Oryctolagus cuniculus: one gene and its partner. The protein of the gene in region 2 purifies or fractionates together with the protein of the main gene of each other region. This does not show direct contact. Links are inferred from orthologs where the notes say so. Each region holds a gene or a part of one and is shown on either strand. Other genes may lie near its edges. The genes, in order: ATXN7L3 and TAF5L.

Region 1 (4,265 bases), on a different chromosome or scaffold from region 2:
GCACAGGGACACCCCCAAGGGAGCGGCACTGGGTCCCGGATAGAGTCCGGCCAGTGCCAGGCAAGCTGTCCGAGAGGTAGGGGGTCCAGCGTGGGTTCCGGAAGCAGGAAAGGCGAGCAGGTGTGGGATCTAAATTAGGATGAGGGTGGGGAGAGCGCTCCGCTCAGCAGGGCGCAGCTCGGCTTCCGCCCTCAGCCGTGGACCCTCATCCCGGGCGGCTCCCGGTTCACAGAACCGGAGCGGGCTGCGACCCGCCCAGACACCAGAGAGACGGAGGCGCGGCCGAGCCCCCCGCGGCTCCATGGGTCTTCCACCCTGAGAGCCTGCCGGCGCCCCGCTTCAAGTCCGTCCTCGTCACAGAAGTGGCTGCCCGCCTCAGCGTGAAGGTGGGGAGCAGGGGTGTGCGGGGCGGAGAGGTGGGGGCGGAGAGCCCCGAGGGAAGGGCGGGGGAGCCTGGGCCGGAAGGCGTCCCAGGCTCGGCTGGGAGCCGGCGCTCTCTTTCGACGCCACCCGCTGCCCCCGCCCCCGAGCCGGCCGGGACGGCACAGCGTCTCCGCCCCCAGCGCACCGCGCACCTCACCTTGAACGCTGCTCCACCCACTCCCAGCCTATTGGGCCTCCCGGGCGGAGGCGGCCCGGCGATTGGCCAGGGTGGCCCAGGGAGGCCCCGCCTCTCTCCCCGCCCCCGTTCCCGTCCGCCGGTACTTTGGACGGCGGCGTGGCGCCCCTCCTCCCCTCCCGGTCCCCGCCCCCTGGAGCAAATGCTGCCGAGCTGCGGCCGCGGGGCAGATGCACGCGCTCGGGCCCTTCTAGCAGGCGCGAGCAGGCGCTGGGCGCGCGAAAGCGAAAGAAGGAAGAGGAAGGGAGGGCGAGGGCGGGGTGTTGAGGAGGGGCGGGAGGAGGAAGAGGAGGAGGTTGGAGCGCGCTCGCGCTTGGCCTCGCGCCCGCGCGGAGGGAGGGGGAGAGGGGCGCGCGCGCGCACTCTCGCGTTCTCGCTCGCTCCATCCATCCATCCTCCGGTCGCGGCACGCGCGCGCGCTCCGGGCTCGCGCCGCACCCCCCGCCCGGGAGAGGCGGGCTGGAGTGGGGGGCGGGGGGAGGGGCGCGCGGACGGCGCGCGGACTGCGCGCGGGCGGGGTGAGGTGAGGAGGAGGAGGCGGCGACGGGACGAGAAGGGAGGGGAAGGGGCCATGGCCGCCCGGTGAGGCGGCGAGGCGGGGGGGCGCCCCGACCCCCCGGCCCCGGGCCCTGGGCCCCGGGGAGAGGCGAGGACGGACCGACGGACATGGGGCTCCGGAGCAGCCGCCGCCGCCGCCGCCGCCGGAGGACGCGGCCCTGAGAGGCCGCCGGGCCCCGGCGCGGCCCCCCGGGCGGGGTGAGTACGGGACGGAGACGGGAACGGGGGAGGGGCCTGCGGGGGGCGGGGGGCGGGGCCCGAGGCGGGGCTTGGGCCCCCTCCCCCCAGGTCTGGGTCAGCGCCCCTTCCCCTCCCCCCGGGCCGACGCGGAAACGCCCGGCTTCCCCCGGCTTCCCGGCCCGGCCGGGGCCCCCTGCTCTTCCCCCTGTCTGGGTACCCCCCTTGGGCGGGGCAGGGCCGGCCGGGGAGGGGGCGCGGGGCCTTTGTTAGGGAGCCAGGCCCCAGCCCCCGGGACAATAGAGACACCCTCCCGGACTCCTGTGCCCGGTCGGGCCGGGCCGCCGGCAGGCTGGGAAAGAGAGGGGCCGGGACGCGTCCCACTCTGCCCACTCTCTGGGGGTCGGTCCGGCCCGGCCCGGCGCCGGCCTCGGGCGGCTCGGCTCTCCTCCCCCCAGTCGGTATGATGCAGCAGTGCCGCAGGGACGGGGGAAGAGCCGAGGCCGGGCCTCCTACCCTGCCCAGTGCCCCTGGCTCGTTTGTCAGTCCCCACCCCACTGTGGGCCGGCAGCCCCTTAAACTCGTACCCACCGTTCGGAGGGGCCCCGGACTGTGGGCGCTGTTTCTGAATCCTTTGGTGGGGGCTGCTGGACTTTGGGGCTCTTGGAGAGACTTCCGGGCAGGTCCTGAGGGAGGGAGGGTGGCTCTCGGAAAGAAGAACAGGTAAGGGGAGTGCCCTGCTCCTGGCGTGGCGTGGCGTGGCGTGGCGTGCCACCCCACCGCGCGCTGTCCCCTCCGCCGGCGGCGGGCCTGCGGTGCCCTTTAGCGCCGGGCTGCGGCGGGCTCTGCCCCTCTCTGGAGCGGCCGGCTGATTTCAAGGGAAGACCGAGTGGGGTGAAGGTGGTAGGGTCCTAGGGCCATTGCCACTTCTGGTAGCAGTACCCCCCCAAGTGGACATCCTGGCCGAAGCAGAGGTGACTCCGAGGAGAGCCTTTAGGGGAGGGGGGGTGTACTTAGGAGTCTGTGCAGTTCTTTGCCACACCCTGTGGGTTCGCTTTGAGGCCTGAGTTCCTTCTCCTCCCCCTGCTGCATTGCACCATGGGTACCCGAGAGGGGTTTGAGTTTTGGGGACCTGGGGTGAGCAGCTGCCTGTTGTAGACCCAGGCTGAGATTGGCAGTGGCGTGCAGGGCCCGGGCTCAGGCCTGGGGAGGACTAGGCCACCTCGGCTTCAGGCCGGCCAGAGCGGCCGCACTCAGTGAGCCTGGGCCTTGGGGGAGAGAGAGGCCCTGCTTCCAGGATCCCACTCTGGGCAGCGAGGTGGGACGGGAGGTGGCAGTCTCCAGGGGTGCCTTAGATTCACACGGACACCCCCACCCCCATGTGTGCAGCCGTGTTGCCGCCCGCTGTGCTATGAGCAGTCAGAGCGCCGTCTCCACAAGAGTTTACAAATGAAAATGGAGGACATGTCTTTGTCTGGCCTGGATAACAGCAAACTAGAGGTGAGGGCTCCCCCACGTGCGCCTCTGGTTCTCGCTCTCGGCGTCTCCACGTCGCAATACCTGGCATCCCCACCAAAGAGGAATCTGGGTAGTCAGCCTCGCTCCTTAAAGGGAACGGCCAGCTGCGGAGGCCCGAGGACCCAGGAAGCAGAACGAACGCGAAGCCACGATGGGGACAGTGGCAGAGAGCGCATGCTGTGTGGCCGGGGCTGCGTGGCAGGCGCCGTGGTTGGCGAGAGTCGCGCCTCTCGTGACCCTGGGTGTTCTCCCCTGGGGCCCAGGCCATCGCTCAGGAGCTATACGCGGACCTGGTCGAGGATTCTTGCTTGGGATTCTGCTTCGAGGTGCACCGGGCTGTCAAGTGCGGCTACTTCTTCCTGGACGACACGGACCCCGATAGCATGAAGGATTTTGGTGAGCTTCAGGGCGGAAGGAGGACAGCGTGTCCCCTGCCCTGGCAGCCGCCCTAGCTGAAGAGCCCGGAGCTCCTGTGAGCTCAGACAGGGCTTTGAAGAGGCCTCGGGACCAGGGGTGGGGGCAAGAGGCGAGGGCGCCCTGCCCGCCCTGACCGCCACACCTCTCCTGTCCCCAGAGATCGTGGACCAGCCGGGGTTGGACATCTTTGGACAGGTTTTCAACCAGTGGAAGAGCAAGGAGTGTGTTTGCCCCAATTGCAGCCGCAGCATAGCTGCCTCCCGCTTTGCTCCCCATCTGGAGAAGTGCCTAGGAATGGGTCGGAACAGCAGCCGAATCGCCAACCGCCGGTGAGGGCCTTCCCCCTGCTGGAACCCGGCCTGCGCTGTGCTGTGTCCGCAGGGTGGGCCGTCCCTGGCCCCCAGTGCTCCTCTGTAGTTCTGGAGGTGTGGATGGGAAGGGGCAGCGGCCTTGACCCTCCCCTGTCTCCTCCCCTTGGCAGGATTGCCAATAGCAACAACATGAACAAGTCTGAGAGTGACCAAGAGGATAACGATGACATCAACGACAATGACTGGTCCTATGGCTCGGAGAAAAAAGGTGTTTGGGGGACAAGGGGATGCGATGGGCCGGTGGGGTGGGTGGAGGGTACGCAGTGGTCATGAGCTGTCCTGAGTGATGGGGGCCGTGTGTCGCTTTACGCTCTTTCCTGGCTGCCCTCAGATTGAGAACACGAAGTAACCCTGCTCTGTGGTTTTTTTGCCCCTCACAGCCAAGAAGAGAAAATCAGACAAGGTGAGAGCGGGGCAAGCACGGGGAGTGTGGGCCCAGGACAGCTCCCCTCCCCCGGGGCAGGGCGTCCTGCCCTCTGTCTGAGGTCACGGGGCCTCTGGGTCTGGGGATGAGGGTGTCTGGTGGGCAGGGGGCAGCAGAGGCCGTGGCCAGCTGCAGGGCGGATGGGTAGATGGGAGTGAGAGAGGAATTTGAGGATGTTTCT
Region 2 (3,801 bases):
CAGTACCAATACAGGTTTGGGTGATCCCACCAGGCAAAGAATCATGATTAGCTGGTTTAGCTTTTGTTTATTTAACATAAGTCACAAGTCACTGTACTGAGGGCCACAGATAAAACAGCCAGAATCCTCACCCTTGTTAACTTTAACCTTACAATTTCACTTTCTCCAGACTTTCAACAGGCCGAAAGTTTTGGAGACCATGCGAGGACAGTGCTGAAGTACCTGTGATCTCTACTACCAAGTATAACGCCTGGCACGTAGTAGGGTCCAGAGGGAAACTGCAGCACTCTAAGAATAGAGTTCCTGGTGCTGAGTACTTACCAGTGAGAAAATTCCTCAGTCGCCCAAACTGTACTTCATATTGCTGGGGTTCTGCCTGGCAAGGGGTTGCAGACACTATATTGGCACAACCAGATTCGGATTGAACTAAAGAGGAAAAGAGATACACGACAAGGATAAAAAGACAATTATTAACCCATTATGTGGCATGACAGGTGGAGGAGGGTACTGGGCATACATTAATAGCAACTGCCATTTCATCACATTTGCAAGGTATCTTGAGGGTTGTGGTTAAATGTGACATTGATGACACCTGTTTACCCCCCCTCCCTCATGACACCTAACCAAATGAGAAATGAAACTGTTTATAAAGTATAGGATAAGTAAGTCAAGTGAGAGAGGAAAAGCTGAGCTGTAGCTGGAAGTGTGTGACCCAAGTTCTGACACTTAATAATAACATGCCTTGGTGTGGAGCCACTGTCAAATACAGGCTGTATTACCTAGTGGGCCCTTTCAATCTGGAAATGCATGCTTCCCAGTTCCAACAATGACTCCATTTTCTTCAATCATTTTGAAATTCTCTCCTATCTGCTAAGACACCTGAGTTTTTTTTCTTAAGATATATTTTATTTATTTGAAAGGTACAGTTACAGAGAGAGGCAGAGACAGAGAGATAGAGGTCTTCCAGCTGCTGGTTCACTCCCCAAATGGCAGCAACAGACAGAGCTGAGCCAGCCAGAAGCCAGGAGCCAGGAGCTTCTTCTGGGTCTCCCACATGGATGCAGGAGGCCAATCCTCCACTGCTTTCCCAGGAGCATTAGCAGGGAGCTGGATCAGAAGTAGAACAGCTGGTATTCAAACTGGTACCCATATGGGATACTGGCACTGCAGGCTGGGGCTTTAACCTGCTACACCACAGCCCCAAGACACCTATTTCAAGGCTGGATATCCTAAATTAACCCATGAATTTTCTCTCCCATAGTCCATATTTTTGCCTTTTGGCTCTACTTTCTGGGAAGTTTCCTCAACTTTCAACTCCACTTGTGTTTTTTTTTTTTGTTCTTTGAAAGTTTTTTCTTCCTCTAAAAGCATTATTTTCTTGTTCCAAAGCTATTACGGTGGTTAAAGTTTTCTTCTGTTTCTTTTCATTGGTCTCTCATATGGGACACATTTCTTCTAGCAGTCTCATGGTTCCAGCGCTGATGAATATTCTGCAGTTGGTGTCACTCATCTTCCAGGCCACACTGGAGATGTCATGTGCCCAAATCAATGTCTTTCACTCTTTTATGGTGGGTAGGTCAGACTCACCATGGGACAATCTTTTCCTTGTAGATGTGCCTGGCTATATCATTCAAGGCAGCTAAAGAGGGGAAGCAGGCTGGAGTCTCTATATTAAATATGTAAACATGGACTTAATCCCATTCTATGAAGTCTATGCTTTCTCAAAAGAAAACTCCTTGGGGTAGACATTGTAGTACCATGGGTTAAGCCTCTACTTGAGGCACCCACGTCCCATATTCCAGTGCCAGTTTCAGTCTCAGTTCTTCCACTTCTGGCCCAGCTTCCTATTAATATATCCTGGGAGGCAGCAGATGATGGCTCAAGTGCTTGGATTCTTGCCACCCACCCGTGTGAGAGACCTGGATGGAGTCTAGACTACTGGCTACGGCCTGGCCTAACCCTGGCTGTTGCAGGCATTTGGAAAGTGAAGCAGCAGATAGAAGGCACAAGAAGGGAGATACAGATGAGAAGAAAGTCGGAAGACCCTACCAGAACTCAGCAGCTGGAAGCAGGAGGATCTGCTAGATAGCTCGTGTGGGAGAGCGGGACTCCTCCCTCACCTTCATAGTGCCCCCACCTTTATCTAATCAGTCACTAAGTCCCAGAGGGTCCGACAATCTACTCTCTCCTCTGCATTCCCATTACCACTTTCTTACCTTGGGCTGCTCTCACTTCTAACTGTTGTAGAGTCCCTGACTCCCTCCTCAATCAATACTGCCATCAGACTAACTTTACTAAAATTTAGATTCAATAACTTAGATGCCTTCCTCAACTTGCTTGTATATTCTGAATGGTTCTTTGAAAACCAGCTCAATCCTTCTATTGCTTACTGCCCTCTGTCCAACTGCCAAGAGCCAGGAGACCTCTGGGGAAGCCCTCCTTTGACCTGTCTATATAATGCCACAATCATGTTCTCTGTGCCTTCTGAACCCAAAGCACCCCATCTTCACAGAGCTTACTACATCACACTCTCCTATAGCCACTGATGTACCTGCCTCACTTCCTGATTAGAAAATTTAGCTTCTCAGGAGACAGGAGCAAATAGCTGTCTCTAGAATTTCCCAGCACTTGGTCTAGATGATAGTCAATGAACGTCTGAATGAAGACAGAATTACTTATGACAACCAGATCCCATGTTTCTCACTTTTCCGACAGTCCTCCAGGAGCAATACAGACTTGTCTCATAAACCACTGTATCTAAATGAGGATGACCAAGAAGAGTAAAGACCCTTTACCAGTGGTCATTCCTACTTTCTATCAACCACAGCACACAATTACTGCTCCCACAGTCCAAAAAACTACAGAGGGAGTCAGGAACCTCTTCTTGAGGACATCTTCAGGTCTGTACTGTTCTGCTGCTCTTCTGCTATAGCAAAGGCAATAAACCTTTGAGCATAAAAGGCTGGGCCCTTGACTTTGACAGTGGTATGAAACGAGGGAGCTGTGGTAACGCTGTGACCAATGTGGACCCCGAAACCATTAAGGCATGGAAAAGTTGGTGACAGATACAAGAAGAATAGAGGAAGGCCAGGAACAAGGAGGAGAAAAGGACCCAGGCTGAGCGTATTAAGATGGGAATGAGCCAGCTCCAGCACCACTGCCACAGAGCGATTACAGTAGTTCACATCCCAAAGCAACACCGTGATGTTTTCCCACAATCTCCAGTACTGTATACAAATTCCATGTAAGAAAATCATATCATCAAAAAGCTGACCTCACAAAATAGCTATACAACAATTACATTTTATTCCAGATAGAGTCAAGACAAGTTTTTCTCAAATAAGAGGGTAGTTCAAAAAGCTCATGGAAAAACAGAATTAAAAGATAAGTTTATTTTGGTGCCAAAAATTTTAAATCCATACAGACTTTTTCAGAATACACGTTTTCCAGGAACTTTCTGGAGACCTTCTCATAGATTCGAGTCACAAAACAAGTTTTAAAAGCCTTAGACTACATCTACAGTATCAGCATTTCCAACTACTGATCCCAAAGTACTCATTTACCCAACAAATGTGACTTCTGTGTGAGAGGGTCCAAACTAAAGGGGTACCTGTGTGAGAAGGGATGTAAGGGTCTCACAGGACAAGACTTCACAGAAACAAAGAGTAGCACATGCCATCAGGTACAGATAACGTGAGCTAGACACTGTGAACAGGAAACAGGGCTTTGGCAGGGGAGCCCCCAGAGGCCTGCAGATGTGGCAGCGAGCACAGACTGGGAGGTCAGACAAGGGCTCTGAGG

What was found.
Region 1: the proteins of TAF5L (region 2) and ATXN7L3 purify together in Homo sapiens (affinity purification with mass spectrometry; 7 studies listed by BioGRID and IntAct, counting the BioPlex papers as one, with this or other methods). This does not show direct contact. The link is inferred for Oryctolagus cuniculus from reciprocal best matches to the Homo sapiens genes TAF5L and ATXN7L3.

Annotation. Positions count from the first base shown.
Region 1 is NC_091448.1:19,059,526-19,063,790, forward strand, and holds the start of ATXN7L3 (ataxin-7-like protein 3), read left to right. Parts: upstream 1-1,234; 5' UTR 1,235-1,375; intron 1,376-1,500; exon of another isoform or gene 1,501-2,077; intron 2,078-2,187; exon of another isoform or gene 2,188-2,328; intron 2,329-2,743; 5' UTR 2,744-2,803; coding exon 2,804-2,854; intron 2,855-3,135; coding exon 3,136-3,268; intron 3,269-3,446; coding exon 3,447-3,618; intron 3,619-3,770; coding exon 3,771-3,868; intron 3,869-4,040; coding exon 4,041-4,063; intron 4,064-4,265. UniProt on the Homo sapiens protein: Component of the transcription regulatory histone acetylation (HAT) complex SAGA, a multiprotein complex that activates transcription by remodeling chromatin and mediating histone acetylation and deubiquitination.
Region 2 is NC_091444.1:49,353,147-49,356,947, forward strand, and holds part of TAF5L (TAF5-like RNA polymerase II p300/CBP-associated factor-associated factor 65 kDa subunit 5L), read right to left. Parts: intron 427-3,801; coding exon 322-426; intron 1-321. UniProt on the Homo sapiens protein: Functions as a component of the PCAF complex. The PCAF complex is capable of efficiently acetylating histones in a nucleosomal context. The PCAF complex could be considered as the human version of the yeast SAGA complex.